Linked DNA regions of Saccharomyces cerevisiae S288C. The protein of the gene in region 1 interacts with the protein of each later gene in a pairwise test. Each region holds a gene or a part of one and is shown on either strand. Other genes may lie near its edges.

Evidence for each region.
Region 2: the proteins of YKR104W (region 1) and TRP5 interact in a protein complementation assay, tested with the Saccharomyces cerevisiae proteins (one large-scale study listed by BioGRID).
Region 3: the proteins of YKR104W (region 1) and PRO3 interact in a protein complementation assay, tested with the Saccharomyces cerevisiae proteins (one large-scale study listed by BioGRID).
Region 4: the proteins of YKR104W (region 1) and COS1 interact in a protein complementation assay, tested with the Saccharomyces cerevisiae proteins (one large-scale study listed by BioGRID).

The regions. Positions count from the first base shown.
Region 1 is NC_001143.9:652,871-660,805, forward strand, and holds YKR104W (uncharacterized protein), read left to right. Parts: upstream 1-3,965; coding exon 3,966-4,886; downstream 4,887-7,935. Other genes in the region: putative multidrug transporter NFT1, read left to right, coding at 210-3,866; VBA5 (basic amino acid transporter), read right to left, coding at 5,846-7,594.
Region 2 is NC_001139.9:441,269-450,581, forward strand, and holds TRP5 (tryptophan synthase TRP5), read right to left. Parts: upstream 7,268-9,313; coding exon 5,144-7,267; downstream 1-5,143. Other genes in the region: SCW11 (putative glucan endo-1,3-beta-D-glucosidase), read right to left, coding at 13-1,641; CWH41 (mannosyl-oligosaccharide glucosidase), read right to left, coding at 2,374-4,875; PGD1 (Pgd1p), read right to left, coding at 7,496-8,689; PIB2 (Pib2p), read right to left, coding at 8,929-9,313.
Region 3 is NC_001137.3:199,183-207,359, reverse strand, and holds PRO3 (pyrroline-5-carboxylate reductase), read right to left. Parts: upstream 6,285-8,177; coding exon 5,424-6,284; downstream 1-5,423. Other genes in the region: GCD11 (translation initiation factor eIF2 subunit gamma), read right to left, coding at 526-2,109; carnitine O-acetyltransferase YAT2, read right to left, coding at 2,397-5,168; SRB4 (Srb4p), read right to left, coding at 6,485-8,177.
Region 4 is NC_001146.8:3,208-11,755, reverse strand, and holds COS1 (Cos1p), read right to left. Parts: upstream 3,427-8,548; coding exon 2,281-3,426; downstream 1-2,280. Other genes in the region: DDI2 (cyanamide hydratase), read right to left, coding at 1-304; YRF1-6 (Y' element ATP-dependent helicase protein 1 copy 6), read left to right, coding at 5,658-5,676, 5,825-8,548.

The DNA.
Region 1 (7,935 bases):
ATACTGTTTTAGAAGTTATTGGGTGCATTACTCTGTCATAAAAAAATCATGTTACTATCTATAAAAAATGCCTAAAAAATTGGATTACCACTTGTTATGGAAAGATCAGTAAAATATAGGATAACCATAGCGTAAGTCTGGCGTTCTGGAATATTTGTTTTTTAGTTATTAAACATACTTTTCACGATTCACAGTATTAATTTTTAGGAATGATAAAAAATGGTACATGCCCCTATTGGGAACGTGATGATCTTTCGGAATGTGCTAGGCGAGAATATATCGAGTTTAAATTTCCTCTATTTATATTGTTGACTGGTATGATATACGCGTTTTGCAAAGTCTTTCGAGCCTTTTATCTAAGGGGGAAAAATCATACAAATGAAGCGCCAGAATTTGAAGAACAAGGTAATGGAAACCACGAATATGCAAGGTTCTCAGTTTTAAGACTAAAATCTGCATGGGAAAGCCGTAGCTTTTGTAATGTTAATAATAGATCTACTTTCGACAAATTCAAAAAATTTATAGAGGGTGCCTTCATTGTTTTGCAGCTTACTATCCACCTGTATATTTTATCTAGTATGCCAATGGATAACAAAAAGTTCTTTCACCAAGGTTTTCTGGTTCAAATGTTTCTCTGGATTTTACTGCTTGTTGTTATTACACTTCGTTTAATTTCAGCAAGCCAGTCATTTCGGTGGGTTTTAGCATGTAAGCGTGATTTATGGGCTGTTTCGTTTTACTCATATGCATCCCTGTTTACTCTTTCGATTTTACCTCTTCGTTCCGTCTTCATTGGAAAGATAAAAGATAAAATTATGGTCAAATATATCATTTCCGAGACTTTCATTGATTTAGCGCTTTTATTATTATTATCAACGTCAAGTATAGAAGGAACTAGGTACTCATTTTTGGTTGAAAATGAGAACAAAAAGTTGCCACCGGCTCCTACCGTCTTTGGCCTTCTTACTTTTTCTAGGATTGATCGGCTTATTTGGAAAGCATACAAACACTGCCTTGGAAACGCTGATATTTGGGATTTGGATATTAATAATAAGTCTATAGCAATTTTGGCGAACTTTGAAATGTCTTCTAAAAAAGGAAGGCTCCTTCCAAACATTATTTGTTATTTTAAGGCTGTTTTCATCTCCCAATTATTTCTGGCTTTTGTATCTAGTTTTTTGAACTTTGTACCCTCATTGTTGATGCCAAGAATACTATCATACGTTAATGACCCAAAGTCAAAATCATGGAACTTGGTGTCTTTATACGTCTCATCTATGCTCGTCAGTAAAATCATTGCCACGACTTGTAGAGGTCAAGGATTGTTTTTAGGTGAAAAGGGTACTATGCAACTAAGAACAGTTTTGATATCCAATATCTATTCCAAAACCTTAAGAAGAACAATTCTAAAAGACTCAACAACGTCACTTCAAAAAAATGCGTCAACATCCTTTGAAGAAAATCCTGACTCTTCTGAAGCGGAACCTAGAAAAAAGTCTAGTAGGAAAGACAACTCTGTGAACAATGTTATGTCAATTGACGCTTTCAAGGTTTCTGAAGCTATGAACACTTTTTATCTGGCATGTGAAGCAGTTTTCATGACAGTTACGGCCCTAATGATACTATATTCCCTACTGGGATGGTCCGCCTTTGCTGGTACCTTTGCTCTTCTTGCCATGATTCCTTTGAATTTTTGGTGTGCAACTTTTTACGGGAACTATCAGGCCGATCAATTAATCCTAACTGACAAGCGTACCTCTGGGATTAGTGAGGCTCTGAACTCAATACGTGTAATAAAGCTACTGGCATGGGAAAATCTGTTTTATCAAAAGATTATAAACGTAAGAGATGGGGAAATAAGACTCCTTAAAAAGAAGGCAACAATTTTCTTTTTGAACCATCTCATTTGGTTCTTTGGGCCCACTTTGGTCTCTGCAATAACATTCTCAGTGTTTATTAAATTCCAAAATCAGACACTTACTCCTACAATAGCATTTACAGCTCTTTCTTTATTTGCAATATTGAGGACACCCATGGACCAAATTGCTTCGACTGTCAGCCTTTTGATACAGTCTTTTATTTCTCTTGAAAGAATCCAGGATTATCTTAATGAATCAGAAACAAGAAAATATGAGATTTTGGAACAAAGCAATACTAAATTTGGCTTTGAAGATGCAAGCATGGAATGGGAAGCTGCTGAAACAAGTTTTAAACTTAAGAACATTTCTATTGATTTTAAGCTGAATAGTCTCAACGCAATTATAGGTCCGACTGGGTCAGGAAAGTCTTCGCTATTACTTGGACTATTGGGAGAATTGAACCTTCTTTCTGGAAAAATATACGTACCTACAGTTGAATCCCGCGACGACTTAGAGATTGGTAAAGACGGAATGACGAATTCAATGGCATATTGTTCTCAAACTCCGTGGTTGATTAGTGGAACAATTAAAGATAACGTTGTTTTTGGAGAAATCTTCAACAAACAAAAATTTGATGATGTAATGAAATCCTGTTGTCTTGACAAAGATATCAAAGCAATGACAGCTGGCATAAGAACAGACGTGGGTGATGGAGGATTTTCCTTATCTGGCGGACAGCAGCAAAGGATTGCTTTAGCCAGAGCAATTTACTCCTCTTCCAGGTATTTGATCCTTGATGATTGCTTGAGTGCAGTAGATCCTGAAACTGCACTTTATATATATGAAGAGTGTTTATGCGGCCCCATGATGAAAGGAAGGACCTGCATCATTACGAGTCATAATATTTCTTTAGTTACGAAACGGGCTGACTGGCTTGTGATTTTAGATCGTGGCGAGGTGAAATCACAGGGTAAACCATCGGACCTCATTAAATCTAATGAGTTTTTGAGGGAAAGCATAAACAATGATTCAAAAAATACAACTCACAATCAAATTGACTTGAAAAGATCAACAACATCAAAGAAAACTAAGAATGGAGATCCCGAGGGAGGGAACTCGCAAGACGAAGTGTGTGCTGAAGTTGAAAATTTTGAGGAAACAAAAATGGAAGGATCAGTTAAATTTTCAGCTTACAAATGGTTAGCAGACTATTTCGGGGGACTGGGAGTTGTTTTTGTTTTCACCTCGTCCTCCATCCTTATTCATGGAATCACACTGTCTCAGGGCTTTTGGCTCAGATACTGGCTGGACACTGGATCTTCAGGGAGTAAGTCTACCTGGCTTTATAGAATAGTTGAGGGTCACTCTAACATCTATTTCTTACTGACTTATATTATCATAGGTCTTGTTTCTTCATTTTTAACTTCTGGTAAAGTTTGGATAGCAATAATTTCAGGTACCAACGTCACCAAGAAAATATTTGCGAAGCTTCTATCCAGTATCTTATATGCCAAGTTACGTTTTCATAATGTCACGCCGACTGGAAGAATAATGAACAGATTTAGCAAGGATATGGATATTATTGATCAACAATTGATCCCTAATTTCGAAGGACTCTCTTATAGCGTCGTTGTTTGTCTGTGGATTATACTTTTAATTGGATATGTTACTCCTCAATTTCTGTTATTTGCTATTCCTTTATGCGCTCTTTATTATACCGTATGTACGTTATATCTTCGTGCATCTAGAGAGTTGAAGAGAATAGATAACATCAATATCTCTCCAATACACCAGTTATTCGCTGAAGCCATCAAAGGAGTAACTACAATTAGAGCATTAGCAGATGAGCGTAGGTTTATCACTCAATCTTTGGTTGCAATTGACAGAAGTAATGCTCCATTTTTTTATCTCAATATGGCCACCGAGTGGATCACATATAGAGTGGATATAATTGGGACACTTGTTCTTTTTAGTTCTTCTGTAATGATCATAATGAAGGCCTCATAGTTGGATGCGGGGCTAGCGGGGATACTGTTATCGAATGCCTTTTCCTTTACTGAAACTGCTCAATGGATCATAAAAGTATTTTCAAGCGTTGAACTTTTGATGAGTTCAGTAGAGAGAATAAAAGAATATACAGATATACCTTCCGAATCAAACGGCTACATATCACCTCCAGCTAATTGGCCTCAAACAGGAGATGTTGAACTAAAAAACTTATCATTGCGCTATTCTCCTCATTCCTCTAAGGCACTAGATAATGTATCATTCAAGGTAAAAGCAGGAACAAAAGTTGGTATTGTTGGTAGAACAGGGGCTGGGAAATCTTCTATTATAGCGGCTATTTACCGGCTTTCAGACTGGGAAAACGGTACGATTACTATTGATAACAAAGACATAAAACATATCCCTTTAGAGCGTTTAAGAAATTCTATAAGCTGCATCCCACAGGATCCTACTTTATTTGATGGAACTGTTCGATCTAATTTAGATCCTTTCGATCGGTATTCTGATGTACAAATTTATGGCGTACTATCCAAAGTGGGATTAATTGAAGAATGCGATGAATTGTGCTTGATTTTTGAGCAAGAGCAGCCTAATTTTTCTAGTCATAAACTAAGAAATAGATTCATTGATTTGAATACTGTTGTGAAATCAGGTGGTTCAAACTTATCTCAAGGGCAAAGACAACTTTTGTGCTTGGCACGATCCATGCTTGGTGCACGTAATATAATGCTAATTGACGAAGCAACCGCCTCAATAGATTATATTTCTGATGCTAAAATTCAGAAAACTATAAGAGAAACAATGAAAAATACAACAATTTTGACTATTGCTCATCGATTAAGGTCAGTAATAGATTATGACAAAATTCTGGTGATGGAAATGGGCAGAGTCAAGGAGTATGATCATCCATACACTCTAATATCTGATCGAAATACCATTTTTTACCGCCTCTGTAGGCAGAGTGGCGAGTTCGAAAACCTTTTCGAGTTGGCTAAAGTCTCATTCGATAATAAAAGATAAGACAACTAGAATTTCCTATTTTTATTCATTCCAGTTCTAGCTACGAAGTATACGATCTGCTTACGTCATATATTTGTGTGTAATTAGAAGGCATTCAGGAAGTCGCTTTTAACTTTTCAGGGCTATATGTCCTAATCCACTACTTTTTTTGAGAACTTTAAGAAATAACTCCTTTGAACCTGTCTGTGCCAAACAAAATTTTGCTGGTACATTTTATGGTATATAAACAAGCTACGTTATTATTACTTTTTTTTGATAGTTTTACTTATACTAGAAAATAATATTATATCATCACAAAAGAAACTCTCTCGTTAAGAATCCCGAATATTCAGCAGGAGCAAAAAAAAAATACCATAATTTAAATGCTTATTCAGTACTTAGCTGCTGATTTTATCGCAAGTATACTATTGGAGAGTACCGTGGTTCATATCGTGCTATTTTTATCTATATTTAAATTTATAGAAGTTTATCGTAGTATACTATGTAATTCTCTGCCGTATTGGCGGCAAAGACAAAAGCACTGACAGTAAACAGTTTTTCTGATGAGAATTTATGTCGAGGAACAAACGAAAATTTTGCTGGCCAAATTTGCTTACGCCTTTAATGTGATTGCGGTTGAGGTCTGTTATTACGCAGCTGCTATCATGTGTCTATTTGAGATTCTCTTTACAGGTTATCGCTGCATTTTTGTCAAGAAAAGAAAAGAAGACAACCTTTTTCTTGCACTGCGATGAGTATATTCAGGCTCGCGAATTTTCCAGATTTCTTACTAAAGACACATCTTTGAACGCACCAGCATGAATTTTATGAACTACTGATCCATATATTAATAGGTTTTAAGTACATATAGAATACTTAAGAAATTACATTCCATTGCGATACACCTATTTGATTCTGATTGTGTTGAAGTCTGTATAAAAGGCGAAAAAAAATAAAATGAAAATAAGAAAATAACTGCGCTACTTGTCTTCTAAATTATCTTCTGGTGTATCGTCCTTTTTTGGTATGATTAATTTCTTATTGGATGAAAAACTACAAAACAAAAATCCTAAGGCATAAAACCCTAGATCCATCCAAAATACGTTCTTAATGGAGTCGCTTAAAATGTTTCCAATAGTCGAATGAGAACCGTCGTAGTTTTGAAGACGATACAAAATCATGTCATCAACCGTTTTTCCTTCGTAAGGCTCTAGATGAGCTCGTGATACTTTATTGTGAAAGGAGGCGGAAAAAACAGTGGTTGAAAGCACACCACCAAGAGTTGTACCTAATGACTTCATGAATGTATTGAAAGCTGTTACTTCAATAAAGTCCATAGCAGCTTCTGGACGATCTTTGGTAATTTGAAGCTGTGCACTCATGAGCGATGCTTGTAGAGCAAATCCAAGGGAAAACCCCGGTAATAGCAAAACACCAATTTGAGTTGACTTCGTGGACGTATTTGTCATAAGTGTCATAAGCCCTGCTCCAATTACCCCAAGAACGCCTCCAAATATTAAGAGTGGTTTAACTAAACCGAGCTTTTTGGTAATCACACCACTTGCAATGGCCGCAATAACGTTGGTAATAACGATTGGTATCAAGTGAAGACCGGCTTTCCATGCACTCGACGCAAATATAAGTTGGAAAAACTGGACAGAGTATATCATTTGCCCATTGTAACCGGTACATAATAGAAATGTTACCATGTTTACTATTATTATGGCTGGTTTTGCTACCAATCTTCTTAGAAGGAGAGGCCTGTAGGATATATTATCAGGTTCCGGGTTGAATTTATCGAATAGGAAGAAATCGTACACCAATGAAAAAATAAAAAGTAAGACACCCAAAACCAAATATGTGATGACTTGGCCAGAGTTCCAACTATATTTATTACCACCAAAGGTTAGCCCCAGTAGGAAAAGGACCAGCCCTGCAGAGCAGAGGGCAAAACCAAAGAAGTCAAACTTGAAGATTATGCCATTCATAAGTCTTTTAAAATTAACTTGGTGTCTGAACTTACTAAAAGTAAAGCTCGAGATTGTTCCTATAGCATCTTTAATTTGTTGAAGTATACCCTTATTCTCGGCCTTATAGGTGAGTAAAAACATAATAATGGCAAGACCACCGATAGGAAGATTGATATAGAAGCACCACCTCCAGGTAACATGGGTTGTAAAGGCACCTCCGATTATAGGACCAACGATAGCAGCTACAGCAAATGCACAACTTAGGATGGAAATCACCAATGGACGTGACCTTTCACCAACCATCGTACAACCAATAACAAAGCAAAGCGTTTGGAGTCCGCTTCCCCCAACACCAGCAACAACTCTACCGAAAATGAGCATATTCATTGAAGAGGCAAGGGCAGCAATTAGGGATCCGGCTTCAAAAATAAGTATTGCTAAAATGAGACTATGCTGGAAACCTATGATAGATGCGAATCTTCCCCAAATGAGACTCAGAATAGCATTTGGTAAACTGTAGCCTGTAACGAGCCAACCTGTTTTGGAGTAGTTTCCGAACTGTTCTGCGACCACGTCAATAATAGTTCCCACTATCAAAATATCCAGTGCAGTTATGAATAGTACAAGAGTTAACGAAGCCAGGCAGAGGTACAAGGAAAGTCCCATTGGAGAATCATTGCTACCTCTAGCATTCAATGAAGCGTCTGAACCACATGCTCCTTCTATCTCCTGCTGCGAAGAGTACTTAGTTTCCTCCATATTTTTGAATTTCTATCGATTAAGCTCTATACCAGGTATGATCTGGTCTGATCAGTTCTAGGTATGAGTATAACTAGAATACATCTATATATATGTATATATATATTTAAACCAAAAAAAAAAAAAATTCGCTTCTCATAAAGGTGTGATGACACTATTATCTTTTGCATATTTTGTCGACTCGTATCATGTACGCGCTGCATATGAGGTGCGGCGCTATCTGTTAAATATGTACTAATTTGCACCTGCTGCAAAGGAAATGTGGCACTACTTTTACTCGCATGTTAACTTTCACCTACTATATATAGAAAAAAGGGTGTTGCTTTCAATCGCCGACTAAT
Region 2 (9,313 bases), on another chromosome or scaffold:
GATTTAGAAAACTTATGGAAAATATTCAATCACACCGAAAGATTGTTCGATACCGTAATCACCGGGAGCCTTCCAGTAATCATTGTAAGTCGATAAGATTGTAACATCCAAGTCCATTTCATTCAAGATGTTTTGGACTGCAGTAATTTGGTTAGCAGTGGATGGAATGTTGCCTCCATTTTGAATACCAGACGATGGGTAACCTGTTTCCGTGACGAAAACATTAGAAGTACCACAAACACCTTGAATTAATTCAACTTGACCCTTAACAAATGTACCGGCAGTTTCAGCACTGGCGCTAGTATCAAAGTAGGCATGTGGGTTGATACCAACGAAGTCAATATCAGATTTTTTGCACAAATCAGGGTTATTTTCAAATGAGACAGGGGGCTCACTGGTAGTAATTTGGCCAGAATAGCCAGCTTCGCTTAATTTGGATTTGACAGAGGAAATTTTACTAATCAAATCAGAAACTGAACACCAACCATTATTGATAGCTTCATTTCCAACAGTAATGAAATCAAAGACATCCCAACCGTTAGTTTGACCATATTGAATCAATGTGGTAACAGAATCATCTATGGAATCAACGCCGCTACTGGTGATATACAAACCTTGGTTAATCTTAATACCTAGTTTTACGGCTGCTGGTTGGACGGTTTCAAAGGAATTACAGTCGGTGCCATAAACACGGATTTTGGAAATACCTTTAGATTTGATCAACGTTAAGTCAGAAGAGACAGCGTCTGCAGACTTACAAGAGCCATCATCATTATATGGTGAATATGCAATAGCCTTTGGAGAAGAAGTTATAGCAGCGCTGCTACTAGAGGAACCTTCAGAGGTGGTAGCGGCTGTTTCCTGTGTGGATGAAGTAGAGGACGAAGTAGAGGACGAAGTAGAGGAAGAAGTAGAAGAAGAAGTAGAGGAAGAAGTAGAAGAAGAAGTAGAAGAAGAAGTAGAGGACGACGTAGAGGACGACGTAGGTGTATTGGTTGATTCGGTGGACTCCTGAGAAGCAATTGAGGTACTCGTTTGTTGATTCAAAGTTGAAGTCGCAGCTGCTTGGTAAGAATGATGCTGACTTTGAGTGTTGCCTTCAACATTGGCTTCACCGACACCACTCACGATATTTTGTGTGGAAGTAGACGTAGTGGTAGGGGAAGGAGAGGAGGAGATAGAGGTAGAAGTAGTAGCTAATTGTTGCACATCCTCACTAGTACCTGCAGAAACAGACATAGCAGTTTGTTGCGTAGAGACGGCTTGCAAAGTAGATTCTGCTTGAAAAGAGGAGGTTGATTGTGGAATAGTGCTTGGCTGCAAAGTAGAGGTTGGCTGCGAAGATGTACTCATTTCAGCCTTTTTTAAGAGAACTTTAGTGATAGTCGTAGTTGGTTCAGCTGTTGGGTTCACACCTTGTGGAATTAAGGTTGTTGTAAAGGTAACACTATCGCTTATTAGGAATTCGACAGTTGGGGCAATAACAACTTCGGTAGTAGTGGAGTAAAAATCAGTCACAACATTAGTTGTGCTTGCTGTGTGAACTCTCGTTACAACTTCTCTCTTAGGAAGAATCGGTAAAGCTGAGGTTAGATAAGTTAAGCATAGCAGCGATGATAGAAAGCTTATGGGTGAAATCATGATGGTTTTCTATTAGATATTATATCAATGAGTGTAGCGTAATAATAAGTCGATAAACAGTACAGAGAATAGAATAGATTTATTACAGTGGAGGTATGTCAGTAAAGGCTTATTCTTCTAAAAGAGTGGACTGTCTTTGTTGCGTAACTGACGATTATAGTACTGTTGCCTTAATATATAACAGTGTATTTGGATAAGCAGAAGGAAAACACGATCATTGAACTTCAATTTTCTTTCCACTTAAATAGTCCCTCCTCAGATTCTTAATTTGTTTTCGGTGCAGCATATTTTGTTGTCAGTCCTTACACTTTAACATTTTGAGATCTAGTATCCAGCTTGTAAACAATAACATTCCCTAACTTTTATTCATCTTACCGCAGTAAATAGAAAAGACCTCACTTCGCAACCATTAATCCCCAAAAGAAAAAAAAAAATGTGACATTTCATAATGCATGTTTCGAGTGTGTTTTCGATTGTTTATTTGTCTGGCTTTTAGCTGCAATGGCCCAGACTGCTAGTTACCAGTTGCTGGTTTCCACGATTTTTTAACTTTTTCTCACAGCCGCATCGAAATGTAAATAAACGCGAGAAAAAAAAAGCTGAAAATGCTGGCTCTAACTAAGAGATGCGAGGCCCTTTTCGAATAGCTGGAACATTTATAATTTTCATCCTGCATACTGGTACATATCTGGTTACATATCTGTTTATATGACTGAAAATATCTACATAGATTCAGAAGCGTCCAAGGATGTTGACAACAAGTGCTGTCCAGCCTGTGAAATGCTCAGCACCAGTACCATGACCATCTATCGGACTGTAATTTTCATAACAATAACCTTGTTCTTCCCAAACTTTGTATATGTTGTTACTGAGATTAATCTTTAAACTTTGGTACAGTTTCTTGGCATTGCTAGCCTCACCAGCCACGTCGAGAATCACCTCTGGGTAGTAGTATCTCATTGCGTCAAGACACAAGTAATTAATATTCATCCAAATTGGGCCTCTCCAATAGTTTTCATCCTTGCCGAAATAGTCGTCTTGTCTCGATAGTGATAACAGCCCGTAGTCTGAAAAGATTTTTTCTGGGTCACTCATCAAAGCAACTACTTTCTCTAGCTTGGGTGAGTTTTTGGGGATTAGCTTCAATGCAAAGGGCAATACGGAGACGTAACCCTCATGACATACAAACTCCCTAATCTCATCGTCTTCTGGATCGATGCTAATATCACAGTAGCAATTGTCATTTTCACTCCAGTGTAACAAATCCAGATTCTCGACCACCTCTTGCTCAATTTGTGCATATCTTTGCTCGTCCTGTGTTAACTTCAACACGTGAGCAATTTGCTTCATGGATCTTGTCATAACGCCCACCCATGCTAATGCGTCTACGTTCAATTCTGCTACATCTGGTGGTTGTGCTCTAGGATAGTCATCCATACCGCTTGGCAAACAATGAGTGAAGGTACGCCCAACCCATCTATAAACTTCGTTCTTATGAATCTTATCCCATATTCCTTCATCTTCCAATATTTCCTCATATTCATCAATAAGTCCTGTTTGAGATTTTCTGAACCAATTATAGTGCTTCAATAGCTTAGGATAAATTTTCTTGGCATATTCGGTTAGCAAGCCAGGATTGGCTTCTAGATTGTTCGTCATAAACTTGGCTGTCCTACTATTGAACATGACTTGGTGGTAGCTGTCACTGTTGAAATCGCCGATGTTTTCAATGGCCCTAGAAAGCATTTCACTAAATGCTAGCAATAAAGTTGGCGGATTAGCAATATTGGGATTTTGCACCTGAAATTCCTGCGGAACTTTACTCCTTGCCTCATTACCCAGTATAATTTCTCTAGCAATCCAACCACTATCATCTTCGATCATTTCAAACCAGCTCGCTAAGATTTCAAAGGCAAGGTCAAAATCATACTCCATAATTTGTAGAAGATGGAAACCTTCATCCCAATAGAATCCACGTGGGAAAAAGCCACGGCTCGGAACGCTGGTAAACAGTTCAAATGGACCTTCCTCTTTTGCATTCAGCAGTTTGATCTCTGTAAACTGGCTCTCATCAAATTCTGTTTCACGATCAATTAGTTGATTCCCATAGAAATAACCGATTCCTCCTAATAGGTTTGATAGCGTCTCTAAAGCAAATCTTCTTTTGACCTCCACGCTTTCAATTGAGTCGGGACCTTCTCCAAAACTAAACTGCTTATCAAAACGCGCGTTTATCTCATTTAGTGACCAAGTAATCAACTCCGTAACTTGTTCCCTGGTGGAAATACTTTGAGTAGTGCCAAGTTTATTGTAAGTGATATCAAATTGGAACCCATCTTTTTTGGTCAAATCAAATGTCTTTTGTATATAATGAAAATTACCAGGATTAAAATTGTACAAATTTCTAATAGTTAAAACACTTGGTATTAAATCAGCAGGACGCTGCTTTGTCTCTTCCTTTTCCAGTATATCACGTATCGAATCGCTAACTAGAGATTGGAAAACATCACGAGCCTTCCAAACTTCTTTATCCGGGATTTGAAGTGATAAATGACTTGTTTTAGAGCAGTCACTTCCTGGTGCTACTTCCATGGTTTCATATTCCGGATTTTTGAAGTAGTGACCAAAATTGTCCTTTACTGTAAGATGATACTCGCCTAATTCTTTAGAATATCCGAAGAATTTCATGTCATTAGGGCCGTCATGACCTATCATTGCTAAGGAAGATTTTCCATCTATCTCGCCACCATTTTGACTAAAGTACAATACGACAGATGCTGTAGATGGTCTCTTGGGATCCAAAGGCTCACCTTGAACTCTCACTGACCAATTTTCCCCGTTCTTGCTCTTTACAAAATAAACAGTCAAGTTCAAGTTATTTTTTTCATCAATAAAAACTTCTTTACCACCAATTCTTGGATCATACACTTCCCAACCATACTTTTGCAATTTATCCTGAGGCGTTGCAAAATGTCTTAACGAATGTAAGCCATCCTGACTCAAACTGTTGAACCACATGATACCCATAATTAGTGGACTTTCATGGACATATCTGGGCCTCATACCAAAGTAACAATTGGATCTATACGGTGCCCACAGTAAAGATTCATTCGTGAACTTTTGATATTCTTCGAATTCTTGTAGTTTACTAATATCAACGGTGGCAGATGCCAGGAGAACTATGCTGGTTAGTATCCAAAATGTTTTAAACATCTTAGATTTTGAAATAAGCATTGTGAAGCAACCTGAACCGTTATTATCCACTACTTCCTTATTAACAGTTGACGCTAATATAGTGTGTCACGCATACAATAATTGAACTTTTAAATTACGCGAAAATGTGGCTGTTCTGACCGAAATGATCTAAAATTGGTCACGATACTAATCTTGAGCAAATTGAGAGGTAAAAGAGCTGAATATGCTAATGTATCCCGATCGTATATTATATTCGTCTATGTAGTTAAAAAGCTAAATAAAAGCGTTCCTTATCAGATATTACTCATTAGGCAGATGGGTCTTCTTCGAATCTCAAATCCCAACCTATCTTTGGACCTAATTTCGGCAAGACTTCAGCGACACTTTGGACATCTTTATCACCTCTACCAGAAATATTGATAACCAAATGTTGATCAGGCTTCATCGTCTTAGCCAATTCGCAAGCGCCATAAACAGCATGAGAAGATTCCAAAGCGGGAATAATACCTTCTAATTGAGATAATAATTTAAAGCCAAGCAGAGCCTGAGCGTCAGTAGCTGCAATGAATTGAGCACGGCCAGTAGATTTCCAATATGCCAATTCTGGACCGACACCTGGGTAGTCTAACCCAGCAGAAACAGAATGAGTATCATGGACTTGACCATCACTATCTTGCAAGACATAAGTCTTGACACCATGGAAGACACCAGGTCTACCGGCAGTTAGAGTAGCAGAGTGGAACTTTGTATCTACACCATCACCACCGGCTTCCACACCCAATAACTTAACGGAAGTATCATGCTCGAATGGTGAAAACATACCTGTAGAGTTGGAACCACCCCCAACACATGCAACAACTGCGTCAGGTAATTTACCATTGTTCATGGCAGCAAACTGTTCCTTGGTTTCTTTACCAATGACACTTTGGAAAGTTCTAACCAAAGTTGGATATGGGTGAGGACCAATGGCAGAACCGACGACGTAGTAAGTAGTTTTCAAGTTAGTAACCCAAAATCTGAATGCCTCTGAAGTAGCGTCTCTTAGAGTCTTTGTACCATTAGTAACAGCAATTACTTTAGCACCGAGAATTCTCATTCTGAAGACGTTTAAAGCTTGGCGACGAACATCTTCTGCACCCATGAACACAGTACAGGTTAAGCCAAATTTAGCACATGCAGTGGCAGTGGCAACACCGTGTTGACCAGCACCGGTTTCAGCAATAACGTTCTTCTTGCCTAATCTTTTAGCTAGAAGAACTTGTGCTAAAGCATTGTTGATCTTGTGAGATCCCGTGTGGTTAAGATCTTCTCTCTTCAACCAGATTTGAGCACCTTGACAATGCTCAGTTAATCTCTCAGCTTTGTGTAGTGAAGAAGGACGGCCAATATAAGAATACAAGGATTTGAAGTCTTCCCAGAATGTGGGATCGGCGACAGCTTCATCAAAACCCTTTTCCAACTCTCTTAGACATGCATGAAGAGCTTCTGGGACATACTGACCACCAAAGTCCCCAAATCTAATTGGGTGCTTGTGATTTTCATCAAATTCGTCCAGTATTTCCTTCTTAACGTTTGCGGACTTCAAGGACTCTTTTTGAAAGGCAAAGAATTCGTCCTTGGACAGAACCTTATGCTTAGCACCATTTAGAATTCCCTGTACATATTCCTTAGCAACGTCGTACCTTTTGCCCTCTGGAGCATCTCCACATAATGTGACGATTTTGGAACCAATCACTACACCGTCAGCAACACTACCAACTGATTGGAAATGTTCTCTGGTAGAGACACCAAACCCAACGGCCAAAGGAGTATCCTTGGTGTACTTTCTGACTCTAGAGATGAGTTCATCCAAATCACTGGCCACAGAACTTTGAACACCAGTAGTACCCATTCTAGACACAACGTAGACAAACGAATCGGCAATATGCGATAGTAATTCCAATCTTTCGTCGGTGGTAGAAGGAGCCACTAGTGGGATCAGGCTCAAACCATTATCATTGATGTAGTTTCTGACCTTCAACGCCTCCTCTGGTGGCAAATCGACGATGATAAAACCATTAGCACCAGCCTTGGCAGCGTCCTGAATAAATCTTTCTTCACCGTAGTTTAGAATAGGGTTATAGTAACCCATTAGGATTATGGGTACGGTAACACCTTCATTTCTAGCTTGGGAGACCATTTCTAGAGTTTGAGGCAAGGTAACACCGTTTTGCAAAGCCACAGTATTAGATAATTGAATTGTAGGACCATCTGCAATTGGATCAGAGAAGGGCATACCCAATTCGATGATATCTACACCACCATCCTGGAAACCCTTGAGAATAGGGACAGTGTCTTTGACTGTTGGGTAACCTGCGGTCATAAATGTGACCAAGGCGTTCCTGTTTTCTTTTTTAGCGTTAGCAAATGTTTGTCTGAGTTGTTCTGACATGGTCTGTCGGTGTGCTATGTCCCTTTTTGGAGCAATCGATGTTTACAGTCCATAAAAAGTGTAAGAATCTCGATGATTCTTATATGACAAATAGTAAAATTAGTCATTCTTCCACGGTCAAGAAGTGAAAAAAAATAAAAAATAAAAAGAAAAGCCTTTCGGGTAATAAGGTATAAAGAATAGAAGATTATACAGATAATTACTATCTTGGATACATAGATGCACCAGTCACAAGAAATCCATGTTCAGACCACCTAATTCCAGATTGTTCAGGTCTAGAGAATCCAGTTCTTTCCCCCCGTTATTCATGTTATTCATGCCCATATTCATATTGTACTGTGGTTGAGGCTGCTGCTGCTGCTGTTGCTGTTGCTGCTGCTGCTGGAAATCGTTATTCATGCTCATATTTAGGATATTAGCAGGGGTTAGATTGTTTAGGTTTAATTGTGACTGTAGCGGGGTGTTATTGGAGTTTGTATTTGTATTTGGATTGGATCCATTGCCGCTGCCATTGAATTGTGACATAGATACTTGTCCCCCTTGGTTTTGAGCTCCCATTGAGTATGCGTTCCCCATGGGAGACATCATGTTGGTCAGCGGCGTGCCCATAACATTTGTGGGCGAAACGCTGTTAATCATGCTAGGAGTTGGGTTGGGTAGCGCGGCTGCCATCGATGCTGTTATTGGCGTCTGGACAGTCGACTGCTGTGCGTAGACCTGCGCTTGAGCCTGCGCTTGAGCCTGAGCTTGAGCCTTTGCCTTCTTGGTTTGTCTTGGTTTTCTTGGCTTTTTAGGTGCCGCAATCGGTGCAGCTGCAGTGCTATTATGTACGGTTGGAGTTCCCATAGTACTACCGCTTTTTGGACCTCTCTTGCCGGCCAGGGGATTATGTTGCATTGTAGCGGTGCTATTTGGATTCGAAAGCGAGTGCGCATGTGTGATGGGATTTGCATGAGGGGTGGCAGTTGTGGTGGGTGTCGAAGCGGCCGCAGAGTGGTTGGTGCTTACAACAGTTGCTGTCGAGCAAACGGCGTTGCCATTTTTGTTATAAGTACTCAACGGTTCCAAAAGCTGGAAACTTCTGTCCCTGTTATCTGCAGTCTTCAAGTATTCTGGTACAGTGCTGAATAAAGGTTGCAGTGCTTCTAAATGCGAAGACAAAGTCTGGAATCTATCGTTCAGTTGCAAAATCTTGTCTCTGATATGTAGGTATTTGGCCATACGGTCAGCCTGCTTGGATCCTTCTTGGTCTATGTTTGCCATTATCTGTATGAATTCATTGAACTGCAATCGCAACGGCAGAATTTCATCGCGTGCTTCGTTGATCTGCTTACACACTTTGTCCCTGGTTTCATTCTCGTTCTTAGCCAATATCACTTGTAAATCATCTAGCTTGACGCCTGCCGGTATAATCGAGTCCATTCCGGTTGTCTTTACTGCTGTTGTGTCCGTTTTGCGCTGCCTAATTGAAGAAGTCTTGGTGACTGTTTCTGTTGTTCTCTTTAAAATTTCGCTCGGCGCCATACCGAAAATCCTCAGGAAAGTGTTAGTGTTATATATTATATTATATTATATCATATTATATTAAGTTTATTGTATACATAATGGTCATACATCAATAGTGTACATCCTCTCTTCGCTTGTCTCGCAAAAAATGTTCATCAGAAACTACTCCAATTCCAGTTTGCAGGCACAGAGCCGATAACACTGCCCAAAACATCATTACCTTCTTCTTGTTCTCCCCCCGTATTCTCATTATCTGCTTCTTCGTCGTTCGACTTCACCTGGATGGGCGTTGTTGTGTCTCGATCAACCGTGGCATGCTCTTGGGACGAACCGCCCTTCTTTGGTCTGAAAAGAGCGTTCATCTGCCTATTCTTGTAGTAATTGCGTAATTTCTTCCTATTGTCATTATCGTCATCTTCGCCCTCCTCAACGTTTATGTTATCCTCGTTCGTGTTTGCGTTATGGTTCGTGGTTGAAAGGTTCTCGTACTCGACCAGACAGTCATCGCATATTTTACAGAGAGTGCCACCGCCATTTATG
Region 3 (8,177 bases), on another chromosome or scaffold:
GGCGAACTTATATAAAATAAAACCTTTTCAAGGTTATATATACTCAATAGATACTGAATAATTTTGGAGCTTCATTATCTTTGTGCAATTGTCTCCATGTACAAACCACCGATAAGATTTAGTGTAGAGTATGTTGGGTGTAAAAAAAGAAAGGCAGTTTATTGACTACTGGTGTAACTAGACGATAAAGGTTTGAGAGGTTTTCATGGCATCAATGGGAAATAAATGAGTTCGAGAACTATGAGATAAATATTTGCTTAATATTATCGCGTTTAGTAATTTTTTCTTAAAAATACGTAAAACATGTTAAATATACAGTTGAATACTATGTAAGAAGGAAAAAAAAAGAAAGAAAACGTTATAAAAAGAGAATAAAGATCATCAATGTCATTACGCATCAATGTATATGAGCATATTGCAATAACCAGAAGTGTCAGTTTCCCTTCCTCCTAGCCCGTTTCTTATCTTCACTTTCTTTCAGATTAATTATGAAATTTTTGTCTTTGCAGTGGTTTTATTGGTTCCTTAAGCGATGGGTTCCAATGTAGTACCCTTTTTAATGGTTGCCCAACCAATCAAACGCCAATGCTTTTCGATACGTCTCGACAAAGCAATCTTCTCGTTAATTTCAGTACAAGCGGGCGACGTTAACTGTAATCTTGCCATATCAGCTTTAACGGCAACCACACGAGCCCCCGTAGCGGTAGAACCAATGTTGACCATAAGAACTTCATTTGGCTCTAATTTTCTGACTTTGGCTTGCTTTTGACCATCTGTTTTGACACCTAATAGACGACGTAGCAAAAAGTAGTTGATTTCGATATCAGTATAAATGTTTGGCAAATGACCCTTAGCACCGACGACTTGACCGACAAGACGATCAGCTCTACACAAGGTAGGATCAACTTTAGTACCAACACCAATCAGACCACCGGGAACAGCAAACTTCAAGTCATTTTGTTCGGCAAATAAGGAGACAATGTTAGAAAAGATTGGTTTACATTGAATTTTACCCTTATCATCCTTGGTGACAATACCTGGTCTAATCTCAATTTCATCACCTAATTTGAAAACACCATTCAAAATAGAACCACCGGCAACACCACCTTTCAGGTCCTCGATTTCAGCACCTGGCTTATTAACATCAAATGAACGAATAACAATTAACCTTGGAGAAATCATAAAATCTCTTGGTGGTACGGGAATAGTCTTGACAATAAATTCATTAACTGCGTCGATGTTATACTTCAACTGAGCGGATATTGGTACAATAGGAGCACCGTCAGCAATGGTACCTCTGATGAACTTCAAGATGGATTTTTGGTGTTCTAAGGCACTTTCTTCACGCATTAAATCGACCTTATTCTGTAAGATGATGACGTGCTTTAATTTCATGATTTCAATGGCAGCTAAATGCTCTGAGGTTTGAGGTTGTGGACAAGATTCATTACCTGCAATCAACAGTAACGCAGCATCCATAACAGCAGCACCTGATAACATAGTACTCATTAAGATATCGTGACCGGGACAGTCAACAAAAGAAACGTGACGGACCAATTTGTAACGCCCCGGACAACCTGGTCTTTGACATTTAGGACTGATTTCTTTATCAGATTTGAATGATCTATAACAATCAGGTTCGGGACATGTAGGCTCTTGACATTTATAAATTTTAGCATTAGCGTAACCTAACTTAATAGTAATGTTACGTTCTAATTCATCCTTAAAACGGACTGTTTGGACACCTGAAATAGCCCTAACTACTGTGGATTTACCGTGGGCGACATGACCGATGGTACCGATGTTTATTGTAGCTTGCCTGTTGATAATTTCGGCGGATAGTGGGTTTAATTTTGAAAAATCAGGGTTTAATGGTTGTTCGGGCAAACCACCACCTTCTTCAAATTCCCTTTTCCTTTTTTCTTCTTCAGTTTCCCCGTCTTCTTCCAAGCCAGTGAAGGCGACTTTCTTCTTTGGCTTATCAGCATCTTGTGTTTCTTGTGTTTCTTGAGCTACAACTTCCGTTTCTTCAACGATATCTGGTTCACCAACTGGTTCCAAATTACCGTTGATAATAATGCTAGGTTCTTGGTCTTGTAAGTCACTCATGTCTACCTCTAATGCGCGATGTTAACGGTGTATTACGCTCTTTCCGCCCTCTTTGCTTAGCTCCTGGTACAGGTCGAGATGAAATCTCTGTCTTTTGTACTGATGATCAGCATCGGGCTATTCTATGAAAATTTTTTCAATGGCAAATCTGGTCCGGGTTACTGACATGAGAGCAAATAATAAGCATAAATTAAAGCATATTGATATACTTCATATAACAAGTATATATCACATCACGCCAAGCTTACGCATAATGCTAGTAATAAATAGATAAACAAAGAGCGTTCTTATTGATCTAAGGTCGCCACCTTTCTACCCACACGACTGCGGTCAAAATCAATATCGAATCTTGAGTTGATGACGTTACGTTTCTTGGAATTTAGAGATGTAGCTGAAGATGCCGAAGAGGATGTGCCATCAGCATTGCCAGCAACTATTTCAATATCTGTCTCATCATCTGCTTCCAACCCATTACTTGCCACTTCCCGCGGTTGGATCTGTAAAATTTCATGGCCTGTATTTAATTTTTCCTTTTCTGTGGGAACGGAAACTGCGGAACTTGAATGATCATTGTCTGCGCTCATGGTCAAGCCATTGAAGGTTTTCTGCAAATTCTTCATCGATGGTGTTTTAGATATATTCCTACTGTCAATGTGGCCTTCCAAATCGAAAAACCCGCCATACCTGTTCAAATTTACCTGTGATGAAGAAGATGTTTTGCGGGAGCCATTGACTGTATGGCCGTTACGTTTCGGAGGATTATTGACTGCATTGTCCATTTCATACAATTTATCGACCACTGGACTGATCTTCACGCCAGTTTTATTATGAGAAGTGCCGCGTGACATCCTCCAGTAGGAACGAATTTCGCCTAACACCCAACTTAACATAAACATTAACCTGTCACCCTGTCGAAATTGCGATGTCACGGTCAAATCTACTTGATCATCTTTAATGATGTACCCTATTCCAAAGCCATGAGGTACAGCAGGAGTTATACCAAATGTCGTGGTAGCAGCATTACCACAGTTGGCAACAATCAACTCAGGCTGTGAGAAAGGTAAAACAAGTGGATTTTCGAAAAGATCTTTCGCAGCAGATGATTCATCACCACTTAAGTGGATACCAAAATGGTCATGAAATTTGAAGAGATATTTCAATGCATTGAAGTGTTTTTCATAACCTACCCCAGACTTTGCATGTTTAACCATGTTATTATGTGTTTCGCAGGTTTGGATAAATTTGTCTAATTTATCTGTCCCATCAATGGAGCTAGAAATAAACAATTGACATAGTTCCAACAGCGCTTGACTTTGAATGTTAATAAAAGATGATCTCGAGTTTTTGAAACCACGTGTGGATACTGGTTCTAATCCAAACACCATTCTTCCATACAAAGCATAGTGAGCTATTTGTAAAGCTACTTGAACCATCGAATCGGGCTTGACTCCTAATCTTTGAGCTGACCTTCTGCCCAATGGAATAGAAGCGCGAACAATATCATACTTGGAAATCAGATCAGCTAGTTTGGTTTCTGACAAATGGACATGTGTGTTCAGGATGTTACTGAAAGACCAATCGATTTTATTTACAACCAACTTAGGGTCAATTTCAGAAGGGCCTCCGCCGTCGGCACTTATGGTCGCCGTCATCAGTTTTTTAGTTTCAGGATCCATTTGTGTCACGTTAGGCCAGAGTGAAAACTGTGGGTCACCGGCGTTAACGTCTCTAGCTAATCTCAAGACTGATTCTGTATAAATTTCAGAAGTAAACCGAAGCACGACTGACCCGTCACATGTGAAGGAATCCCAAATCACTGTGGCTTTTGCATCTGCAGTGACAACTAACTGTAATTTATCATACCAACGAGAAACACATGAACCCACTTGATGGCCTTTGCTATTTATTATAGAAGTACCGTAAAACACTCTCTTACAATTGGCGGAAGTACATTTCTTGTCTCGCTCAGTGATAGTCCTGTTAAACATTTGACTGATATCAGCGGTATCATCGCCATCATTGGTAGTTTCTTCTTGTGATTCGTCCAGCACTAACACGAACAGAGCAGAGTCTATGCGATGTAATTCATTAGGATACCTTTTCTGTAGTCTCTTCCTTGCATATTTCCAGTTTCTAAAAGAGTGAGAGGTCAAACTACCTAACGCAGTTGATTTTTCAATGCCAGAAGAATCTTTTATTATATGGTTGAAAATTGTGGTTAATTCTGCAGCAGTGTATATAATTTTATTCGTCGAATCAAGTACTTCCAGTGTATAGTATTGGCCCCTGGAGATGATCAAGATGTGTTTGCTATCCGGATGTCTTTTTATAGTTATACCATTGCCAGTGAATATGTCTTCTTCGTGTTTTCTTTTACGGTCATCAAAGTCTTTTTGGGTGGGTTCGTCGTTATCGTCCTCATCGCTTGAATAATCAGGGTCTTCTAAATCAGATGCTGTGTAAGGTTTGTTCAAATCAAAATTTTCAACCTCACCGCGCTGAAAAACAGGACTACGAGTAGTACCGAACAAGTTCAGAAATGGAGCCATTGACAGTGGTTTGCCATTGGTGGCATTGATATCTGGTGGCAACAAATCTTGTTTCAAAGCAGAAATAAACCTGGCCGCAGAGTGCACTAGGACGGCTGACCTATCAGCTTGAGTGATGTTTGGCAAAGCGTCATCTGCGAGAACCAAGAAGGGATTCCTGGGTAGGACATCGTCCTGAATCTCCCTAGTGGAGGTCTGGTTATTGATGTCTAAGTGTAATTCATCAAGGTAGCAATCCCTAGTGTCATGGTAGCTCTGTAGTTTAGATTGCAGCTTCTCACTTACGGGATTCTCTTCAAAATCTCTTATTATGGATGACAGCTTCTCAATTTGTTCTGGATCTAAAGGATGTTGATAGTAACCATCAGCATAATACAATGGCTCTAAACTCTCCTTCAGACGCTGCAAAGTGTCACAGAGTTTAGGTAATGGTAACTTGGGTAGTTCTTCCTCATGCTTAAATGTTCGCCCCGACTTGTCAGACGAAACAATAGTACTGCCGCTTGACATGGTTGCTTAGTTTTATTTTAATTTTGATTTTTGATTTTCATTTCAAATGAATCAATTGCTCTTACTCATTACAAACACATTTATATAATTTTTTTCTTTTATACGCTCCAATTAGTGTCATTATTATGGGGTAGTCATTCATCGTGATGATTCATTATCGGACCGACGGGAAAATGACGAAAAAATGCAAGGTCAGTAATAAAAAAATAATATACGGCTACAAAGCGAACATACATACATTTCACGCAAAGCAATCTATTTCTTCTTTTGGCCTAATTGTGACGCAACACGGGCTGCCTCTTCAACACCATTGATAATACCGCTCTTGACGCCCTTTTCTTCCATTACGCACAACCCGGCAATAGTTGTACCACCTGGTGTGCAAACTTGATGCTTTAAAACGGATGGATGAGCACCGCTTTTCTCAACCATCTTCACTGTTCCTTCTAGAACTTTCATGGCACACTCCTTACTCTCTTGTAATGGGATTCCCAATTTCAACCCACTCTCCATCAAGGATTCTAACATCAAGAGAACAAAAGCGGGGCCTGAACCGACTAAAGCCGTAGCAGCATCCATGTTCTTTTCTGGAAGCTCAACGTATTTACCAACTTGGCTAATCAATTCGTTGACCAGTGGCTTTTGCTCTTTGGAAACATCAGCTGAGTAGGACACCACCGCACAACCATATCCGTACTTGGCAGGTGTGTTCGTCATAACACGGCAAACAGTGCTAGTGTATTGACTCAATTGGTCAATTGTCCAGCCAGCAGCCAGGGAAATAAGTAGCTTTCCCCCAATGACGCTCTTCACACCATTCAACACTTCTTCGGCCAAAAATGGCTTGGTACCAAGAAGAACTACAGAAGCTTCTTCGACAGCGCTCACGTTGTGACCGTAAGTGCTTTCGACTTTAATACCGTTAGGAGATTCGTCGAATGTCTCAACTAGATCGGTAACTTGTTGTGCACTAGGTTCATCATGGTTACATGTGATAATTTTGGAAGGGTAAAATGCAGCAGCAGTTTCATCAGCCGCCTTTGGAGCATTATAAATGGCGGAAAGAAGTGCTTGGCCCATAACACCGCAGCCTAAAATTGCCAATGTGTAAGTCATATCTGTAGTTGGTTTGTTTGCTATTGGTGTTGTGTTACTTCTATTGTTGTTACACCGTTCTTAACCTGGCAATGTTATTAAATCCTTCATATTCTTGTTTTCGAAGATAAGATCTTGTCCTTTTGTACGTATGCGACTTTATATAGTAATAAATGGCATTCTATGGCAATGTATGTAGGTTTAAGGAGTGACTCAGGATATTACACCTTCTTTTGCTGGATGTACTCAGCGACAATAAAATGTAGGAAGTCCTCTACTTCTTTAAAATCAGAAAATGTTGTGTCAAAGGACACTGCGTTGGCTTCCGTACCAGCTGAAAACTTGATGTGAATGAGTGCGTTACAATAGTTAGGACTTTCGAGCATTAAACTTAGATTAGGGCTTTTGTGCTCAGTTAATGGTAGATTTATTTTGAGTTCACGTCTAGGTATATTCAATAGTTTATCGAAGGCACGGATCTCTTTATTTAATTTAGTTATATTTTCATCATCAATGTTTTTATTTTCTTGAGGTTGTTCTCTCTCAACTTCCGTTTCTGTTATACTTGAGCCAGGAACTATATCGAGCACGTAATCCTTTATGATTTTTTTTAGTAACAGTTTGTAATTAGCAAACCGAACTTTACCAAGAATGGGACGTATTATTAAGATATCATCGTCAACATTCAAATTGATCAGTCCGTGGGGTGAGCTTATTCTCGATCGTAATGTTTTCTTGAATATAACGACTAATAATAGTCTCAACATAACAAGCATTAAATTTGCTCTCTTGTCGTTGATTTTTGGTAAGTCTTGTTCATGATTGACAATGGAGTCATCGTCAAGGGACAACAACTCGATTTCAAATTTTTCGTTAGGTAGTTCAATTATTACCTTGTTTTCGTTTTCAATACTGACACCATAGGAAATCAACAAAGCGCATTCTTTCTTTATTTGGTACATCAGTTCTTTTTCAAAAATGATCTTTTTCAAAAGTTGGATTTGCTTTCTGATATCTTTCGTTTCAGCTTCTTCACTTTCACTATCCCTATCCATCACACTTTCGCCACTCAATATGTAATCATCTTCTGATTCGATTTTTGTGAAGATACGAACCCTTAAGAATTTCTTTACTGAATGTACGAAATCAGTGCCTTTGAACACTGAACTACTGTGGGGTATCAAATCCAAATTTTGTGATTCTATATTATTCCTTATATTAGCAATACCTCTGTCATGCTTATAGGTAGATCCAGAGTCTTCGTAACCATACTTAATTGCCAACAGCTTTTGACCACTAGTCCTGTCCCTAATCTTAAAAATAACATCCTTGTTGCTAATACTCTGCATTATCTTATTCCAATAGTCATGTTCGTTCTGTAATATGGAACTCAGTTTATTAAAACTTGCGCGTAGGAGATCTTTAGATTCGTTTAAACTTTGTAACTTCCATCCCTTATTCAATATATCCAACTCGATATATTCTTTTTTTGTAGGTGCAACATATGGAATTTTATCACTGTTTAAACTAGAAGGTTTAACAACTTTCCTAAGAAATGGTGACATTGATGACATACCTGTAGACTCTTTAACACTCGACAGTAGCAAAGAAACGAATTCCAAAGCCAAAGACGATTCGTTCATGGCCAGATTTATATGCTCTAGCATATCCCTCCTTCTTTTAACAAACTGTTCCTGTGTCATTACCGTTTCAATATTATCATCGGTCTCGCCATTTTCATTCGTTTTGTGGTCTGTTTCATTTCGTGAATCCACTGGATTATCTTTATCTTCATAATCCACTTCCATGAAATCTTCTCCAATTTGTACATTCTCATCAGCGCCATCAGTGTCCTTCTTCTCGCTGTTATGACCGTCACTACTATCACTACCAAGCTGCTTAATCTCATTTTGC
Region 4 (8,548 bases), on another chromosome or scaffold:
TCTTCGTGGCTCTCATATTCTTATCTGTTGTTGCAATATCATGAAGTAAGCAGGTGACGTACAAAACTTCCTGATCCAAGTCCCATGCTGGAAATTGGTCTCTTATGATAGCTACACTATATTGAAAAACACGCAAAGAGTGGTTTAGAACGGGGGCAGTCAATTCTTTAGCGGCATATTCCCGAACAAGCCTAGCAGTTTCACTGTTTGGAGGCGGAACAACGGCCCGTGGTCTAGGTGCATTCACCACTGGAATGGCCTTTTCTACCTCTCTAGGAACTCTTACAAATCCGTACTGTGACATGATTGATTCTTTTGAAGAGGAGCAAGGCAAAAAACAGTACGAAGCAACTTCATGTTAACAGAAGAAGAAGGAAACTAACCCATTTATATATAATTTTATGAGGGGACCGATCCTAAAAAGTTATTTGTAAAGCTCGTACAAGATTGATTGATGACTTCCCGACAAACTATTGTGCGGTGGAGTATTTTGTATTATAGAAATGATAGTGTCCATGCACTTTAATAAGATCTTTTTTGCGGACATTTGTTTCGGGGCCGTCCAAAGTTGTTTGATGGTATAACTCCGCATATTTGACATCTTTCTCTTTTAAACCAGTATCGGTTAGTCTTTTGCAATTTTCTTGAGGGATTCAGTCTAGAAAGTTGATTTTCATTGCTGTTAAGATAAAAATTCCTTCTAACCCAGCTTGTACTCCGTATACTTTCAATGCTCTCAAAACGATATGGATACTAGTTAGTTTAGACCCTGTAGTTTCACCAGCTGCTAGTATTCAACGTTCATGCGACTTCTATAAAGGAGTGCTTGGCTTTGATGTTACAACATTCGGGAACTATCGCAGGGCTTTGTCTTTTTTTGGAGTCAGAAAAATCAATTTGAATGAGGTGGGAAAGGAATTTGAGCCCAAGGCACAGAAGCCAACTCTCGGATCTGCCGATCTGTGTTTTATCTTAGAGGATCCTTTGAATAACAGTTACGCATCTTGAAAGCTTGGATTTTCCAATTGAAGAGGGCACTGTAATCCGTACAGGCGCAGTCAACCCTATTATCAGTATACATCCGTGATTAAGATGAAAGTGTGATGGAAATATCAAATAGAATAAAAGAAACGGAATAGAGCTATTTTTTTTTTTATATTATAGACATAGTCTAAGCGAGTTTAACCTTTGAAATATAAAAAAAAACAAAAGGAAAAAAGTAGTATGTGGGCTGCACTAAACTAAAACCGTGAGGTATTTAGATATATATTCTACATTGTTTTACGTTATAGCATGTATAAACATACAAATACATACTGTGAGATGATTGTGGTATGACACAGTGTGTAATAGAGGAAGTGAAGAATGCCAAGAGCAGTTTTTTATCTATTTTCTGCGAATTTTCTTATGTCGGAAGTTATTCTCGGATAATATGCGGCTGCGCTAAAAATAGTTTATCGCATGCGTAAATCAGGGACCAATTCATAATGCTATAATGGACGTCGCAGTGCAGGAACTACTTGATTTTTTTTTTTTTTTTTAATTTTTTTCTTTCTATAGCTAGTCACACAGCCATTACCACCCAAAATTAAACTGTTTTATGTATGTTTAGTCACCAAATTATCAAAAGAGCATGATTTTTCTCCTGAGTATTTCAAAGTGAAATTTGAAATCTTACCAAGCCCTCAATATAAACCAATATTTCAAGAAAGCTAGAGACATTGCAAATATTTTGCTCATTCAAACATATAGCTAAGGCAAAGGGATACTAAAACTCAGCAACTTGATGAAAGTTCGAAAATAACTGACAGTGTATCTATAAAAGTTTCACTGTGGGAATGCAGTGTCCATCCAGTATTCAGCACAGGTTTTCCTAAGCCTTCTGTACATCCCTTCATTTAACAGTAAATGTGGAAAACAAGAAGGGTAATTGTGAAAGAGTCCGATTGTAGTTGATGAACAGTAAAATCACTTATTATTTAAGGATTCCGCTGCGGTATGCGTTTTCTACTGATGTGTGGAGCAAGCCACGCCATGTGATTAACCTTGCTTGATAAAAACACCAACCCATCGTTCAGAATATGCATGGAATACAGCATCTCTAGGAGGAGAAAGACAATAAGTTTAGCGCATATGGTAGGATGATAGCACACTGATTTCTGTCAACCAGTGAGAAATAGGGAAAAAGAAAATGGTTGTAATGGTAAAAAGTAGTCTCGTTTTGGTTATTCGCAGCTGACAAACTACAAAATATATAAATTGAAAAAGTTGTATTTATCTTTACGCTAAGGACTCCTCACTGCAGGATAATTGCGCTTCTTTAATATATGGCCATAGTTCCACATTCAATGATAGAGCCCGCATAGATTTCTTTGCAGAGAGAACGCGGTAGAAGAAGTGGCTAAAAAACCATTCACAGTCAATCCCGTCAAAGAAAAACTCTTCATTCTTCCAGACTTTTTTCTCAAACAAGTACCTATTCATTTTTTTTGCAATTTCGTCCCATCCATTCGCACCACTTTCTTGCTCATTTATAATAGTCGACAAGAACTGCATCTTGTGTTCCATTTTCACGGATAAAACGATCATCCTCATGTTTTGGAAACCTTGTACCAACATGAAAAGAATCCACCCGAGATAAAAGGTGCGTAATAGAAGGCACATTCCCCGTGACACATATATGCAGCACAAAAAATTAAGGAATGGTATCAACATAAAAATATTGGAAATCCTCTTTAAAAACCAAGTAAGCTTAAATCGGTAAGCTTCTTTGGGAAGTTTAGCATCTTCCAGGCCAACAGGGCTCCATGATTTCTCAGAATTAAACAACTTCCATTGTTTTTCAACTTCTCTAAAATAAACTCCCAATGCTTCTTCAATGTAAGGGACGGAATCCTTAAATGACTTAACCTTGGCAGCTTCGTCTTTTTTCAAAGAAAATGGTTCGAGAAGGGTTGTTCTGAACGCTTCTTGACAGACCATGGCATTGAAGAAAAAGTACTTAGTATTCCAAGCCTTATTTTCATATAAGTACGAATTTAGATTTGCTGCAACAACTTCCCAATCATGAGGATCAGAACTTGGTGTGTTTTCAGTAACCTCTTTGCAAAACTGAATGAGTTGTTTCGATAAGGAACGCTTACGAGAAAGTCCACAAATAACAAGGACAAATATTGGTCCCAGAAACAGGACCAGAAGTGAAACTATAAGTGGGTAAATACAATTGTTGGAAAGTTTCCACCAGACGCTAAGTGGTAGCCATAATAGCATCCAGATGCGAAACGCTAAGGACTTGTAAATTTCATAACAAAACCAGGTAAAGCTGCTTCTGAAAAGATCTTGAGGTAGAACAATCTTTTGGGATTCGAGCTGTTTGAAGGATAATACATCTACACTCTTCTCATTTTTAAGTTCATTCTCTTTCATTTTCGGTAGTGAGATGGCAGTTCGAGGGGTTTTTTATTCGAGATAGTAACTTCTGGCTTTTCGCTTTTATACAGCACAGCAGAAAAAAAAAGCCGCCGAGGCGCGCGCGTTCATGCAATGGCTCAGTAACCTCGTGATAGAAAAAGGGAAACAATATTGGGCTATTTTAGGCAAAGAAACTCAGCTATTCGAAAAGGGCATCCATTTCATTTCCGGTTTTCTATCTAGCCAACTCGATAATCGTAATAACGAATTTACAAAACTTTAATGCGGGTACATCACGGTGTGCCGTAACGTTGGTTTACATTTAAGGTGCGACCAGCAATGTCACTGCTCGTACAGCGGTTACCGCTTGAATGAAATACATATTTTAAGCGTAGATTTCCTGTGACAAAACTGTGTAAACATCTAGTAGAAAATAGACGTAGCTGTCACAAATATTTACACAGGAAGAGTCTGTCCTACGTATCTGACATGAAGATTCATAGAACCAAGTTACTTCCCAATGTGGACAACCTTTCGATACCATGTCAATAGCTTCCCCTTATGTTCGGTGTCACTGTAAAACGGATCAAAGCAAAACCTAGAGGTACGGTGGTACTCAGATTATGCATGACCTCTGGGTAATTAGCACTTCTCCCGCTTGTTTTGAGATTCTGTATATAAATATTGCAAACAAAAGGATAGAGCGCGGATGGCAGCCCTTACAGTAAAAATTATTCGTTTTAATCATGCGTCAGTGTGAGATTCTATGACAATAGTATGAGAAGATGGGGTGAAGTAAAAGCGTCTGTATGACTATAGAGTACAGTTATATTACAATATATGGAATAGAGCATAGTGGTATGACGTATTAAGGAACATTTAAGTTAATGACGTCATGGTGGTATTGATACGCAATTGAGTGTGTTTATGTATTATGGTTGAAGAATAGAATATTTTTATGTTTAGGTGATTTTAGTGGTGATTTTTTTGTAATATTGGCATAAGTGTATATAAATTGAGTGGTTAGTATACGGTGTAAAAGTGGTGTAACGTATGTATTAAGAGCAGTTATACAATATTTGGGGCCGCCGAATGAGATATAGATATTAAAATGTGGATAATCGTGGGAGTTATGGGTAAATGGCACAGGGTATAGACCGCTGAGGCAAGTGCCGTGCATAATGATGTGGGTGCATTTGGTACTGATTTAGTGAGAGATGGGCCATGGAGTGGAGTGGAATGTTATGGCAGGGTAAGTTGAGATGGTATATACTGTAGCATCCGTGTACGTATGACCGATCAGAATACAAGTGAAGGTGAGTATGGCATGTGGTAGTGGGATTAGAGTGGTAGGGTAAGTATATGTGTATTATTTACGATTATTTGTTAACGTTTCAATATGGAGGGTAGAACAACAGTATAGTGAGTAGCAGATGGTCGATGGTAGGGTAATGGTAGTAGAGTTGGATTTGGGTAATTGGAGGGTAACGGTTATGATGGGCGGTGGATGGTAGTAGTAAGTAGAGTGATGGATGGTGGTTGGGAGTGGTATGGTTGAGTGGGGCAGGGTAACGAGTGGGGAGGTAGGGTAATGGAGGGTAAGTTGAGAGACACGTTCATCAGGGTTAGAATAGGGTAGGGTTAGGGTTGTGATGGGTGTGGGTGTGGGTGTGTGGGTGTGGGTGTGGTGTGGGTGTGTGGGTGTGGTGTGTGGGTGTGGGTGTGGGTATATATATGTCACTGTATTGCATGCTGGATGGTGTTAGACAAGGCCGTAGGGACATATAGCATCTAGGAAGTAACCTTGTACGAAAATAGGCAATATTTCCTGTTTAGGCGATTGTGACGCAGATTTTAGTCCAACGATCTAGCGTCAAGGAATTTTTTTATAGTGGGACATTGCACCAAGGAAGTAACTTGATACGTCGTGGGTGAATGGGTCTGTTTTCTTATTCGGCGGGGTAATACATTTTTGGGGGAAGTTTGTCTGTCTGACGCGCCATATGTAGGTACGCCAAAAAGGGCTCCTCTACTTCGAAGCGCGAGGTCGTATACCTAATAAGGAAATGTAATTTATAACTTTCTATTATATTGGTCTTTTCGAGAGCGGAAGAAGTTGTAGGCTAAGCGCAGGCTAAGCGTAGGTCCATATTTAAAGTATCCAAGAGAATATCCACGAAGCGGCTGAGCAACGAACAGAATCCTGGTTCTCCTCGACTAAGCAGATAGTTAAGATACTGTGCACCATGGAAATTGAAAACGAACGTACGTACCGACTACTTTATTTTTGCAGGCCGGAAATCAAGCGATGAATGAGACATCCTTCTGCTTTCTATGTTGTGCTTGAAGGGGACAGACAGTCGCTTATCTTAGTGAGATTTCTTACTAACTGAATTTACTTTGCTGCTGCTAGAGATTTGCACCTGCATAGCGCAGATTCTGCATCTTCTCAATAGCTTAATTATTACATTCTTAGATGATGATAAGACGGAAACTGGACAATCTTTTGTTTATATTGATGGATTTCTTGTCAAAAAGCATAACAATCAACATACTATTGTTAATTTCGAAACTTACAAAAATAAAATGAAAGTTTCCGATAGGCGTAAGTTTGAAAAAGCAAACTTTGACGAGTTTGAGTCGGCTCTAAATAACAAAAACGACTTGGTACATTGTCCCTCAATAACTTTATTTGAATCGATCCCCACGGAAGTGCGGTCATTCTACGAAGACGAAAAGTCTGGTCTAATCAAAGTGGTAAAATTCAGAACTGGTGCAATGGATAGGAAAAGGTCTTTTGAAAAAATTGTCGTTTCCGTCATGGTCGGGAAAAATGTACAAAAGTTCCTGACGTTTGTTGAAGACGAACCAGATTTCCAGGGCGGACCAATCCCTTCAAAGTATCTTATTCCCAAGAAAATCAACTTGATGGTCTACACGTTGTTTCAAGTGCATACTTTGAAATTCAATAGAAAGGATTACGATACCCTTTCTCTTTTTTACCTCAACAGAGGATACTATAATGAGTTGAGTTTCCGTGTCCTGGAACGTTGTTACGAAATAGCGAGTGCCAGGCCGAACGACAGCTCTACGATGCGTACTTTCACTGACTTTGTTTCTGGCACACCTATTGTAAGGGGTCTTCAGAAAAGCACCATAAGGAAATATGGATACAATTTGGCACCCTACATGTTTTTGTTACTACACGTAGATGAGCTATCGATTTTTTCTGCATACCAAGCAAGTTTACCTGGCGAAAAGAAAGTCGACACAGAGCGGCTGAAGCGTGATCTATGCCCACGTAAACCCACTGAGATAAAGTACTTTTCACAGATATGTAACGATATGATGAACAAAAAGGACCGATTGGGTGATATTTTGCATATTATCTTGCGAGCATGTGCGCTCAATTTCGGGGCGGGTCCCCGTGGTGGCGCTGGTGACGAAGAGGATCGATCCATTACGAATGAAGAACCCATTATTCCCTCTGTGGACGAGCATGGCTTGAAAGTATGTAAGTTGCGCAGTCCTAACACTCCACGAAGACTCAGAAAAACACTAGATGCCGTGAAAGCTTTATTGGTGTCGTCTTGTGCTTGTACCGCAAGGGATTTAGATATATTTGATGACAACAACGGCGTTGCGATGTGGAAATGGATCAAAATTCTGTACCACGAAGTAGCGCAGGAAACCGCGCTGAAGGACTCTTATAGAATAACTTTGGTACCTTCTTCTGATGGTGTATCAGTATGTGGAAAACTGTTTAATCGCGAGTATGTCCGCGGCTTTTACTTTGCATGCAAGGCTCAGTTTGATAACCTTTGGGAAGAATTGAACGACTGCTTTTATATGCCTACAGTGGTTGATATTGCCAGCCTCATTTTGCGTAATCGAGAAGTTTTGTTCAGAGAGCCAAAGCGAGGAATTGACGAGTATCTGGAGAACGATTCTTTCCTTCAAATGATACCTGTTAAATATCGTGAAATTGTGCTGCCCAAGTTGAGAAGAGATACTAACAAAATGACCGCGGCTCTTAAAAATAAAGTCACTGTTGCAATTGACGAGCTTACGGTGCCACTTATGTGGATGATCCATTTTGCCGTAGGATACCCTTACCGTTATCCAGAGCTTCAGCTACTCGCTTTTGCCGGTCCTCAGCGCAACGTATACGTCGATGATACAACAAGACGCATCCAACTGTACACTGATTACAACAAGAACGGTTCATCGGAGCCTCGACTTAAGACGCTTGACGGACTCACTTCAGATTACGTGTTTTATTTTGTCACTGTGCTAAGGCAAATGCAAATATGTGCGCTTGGTAACAGTTATGACGCTTTTAATCATGATCCTTGGATGGATGTGGTGGGATTTGAGGATCCAGATCAAGTAACAAATCGAGACATTTCGAGGATAGTTTTGTATTCCTACATGTTTCTGAATACCGCGAAGGGCTGTCTGGTTGAATACGCAACTTTTCGGCAGTACATGAGGGAACTTCCGAAGAATGCACCTCAGAAGCTGAATTTTCGGGAGATGCGTCAGGGGTTGATTGCCCTAGGACGGCACTGCGTAGGTAGCAGATTTGAAACAGATTTGTACGAGTCGGCGACGAGTGAACTCATGGCCAATCATTCCGTTCAAACAGGGCGAAATATTTACGGTGTGGATTCCTTTTCGTTAACTAGTGTCAGTGGGACGACCGCCACTTTATTGCAGGAACGAGCTTCCGAGCGCTGGATTCAATGGTTAGGCCTTGAAAGCGACTACCATTGTTCATTCTCTAGTACTCGGAATGCGGAAGACGTAGTGGCAGGTGAGGCGGCGAGTTCAGATCATCATCAAAAAATTTCAAGAGTAACGCGAAAAAGGCCCCGAGAGCCCAAGAGTACAAACGATATCCTCGTCGCAGGCCAGAAACTCTTTGGCAGCTCCTTTGAATTCAGGGACTTGCATCAGTTGCGCTTATGTCATGAAATATACATGGCAGACACACCCTCTGTGGCAGTACAGGCCCCACCGGGCTATGGTAAGACGGAGTTATTTCATCTCCCCTTGATAGCACTGGCGTCTAAGGGCGACGTGAAATATGTGTCGTTTCTGTTTGTACCGTACACAGTGTTGCTTGCTAATTGCA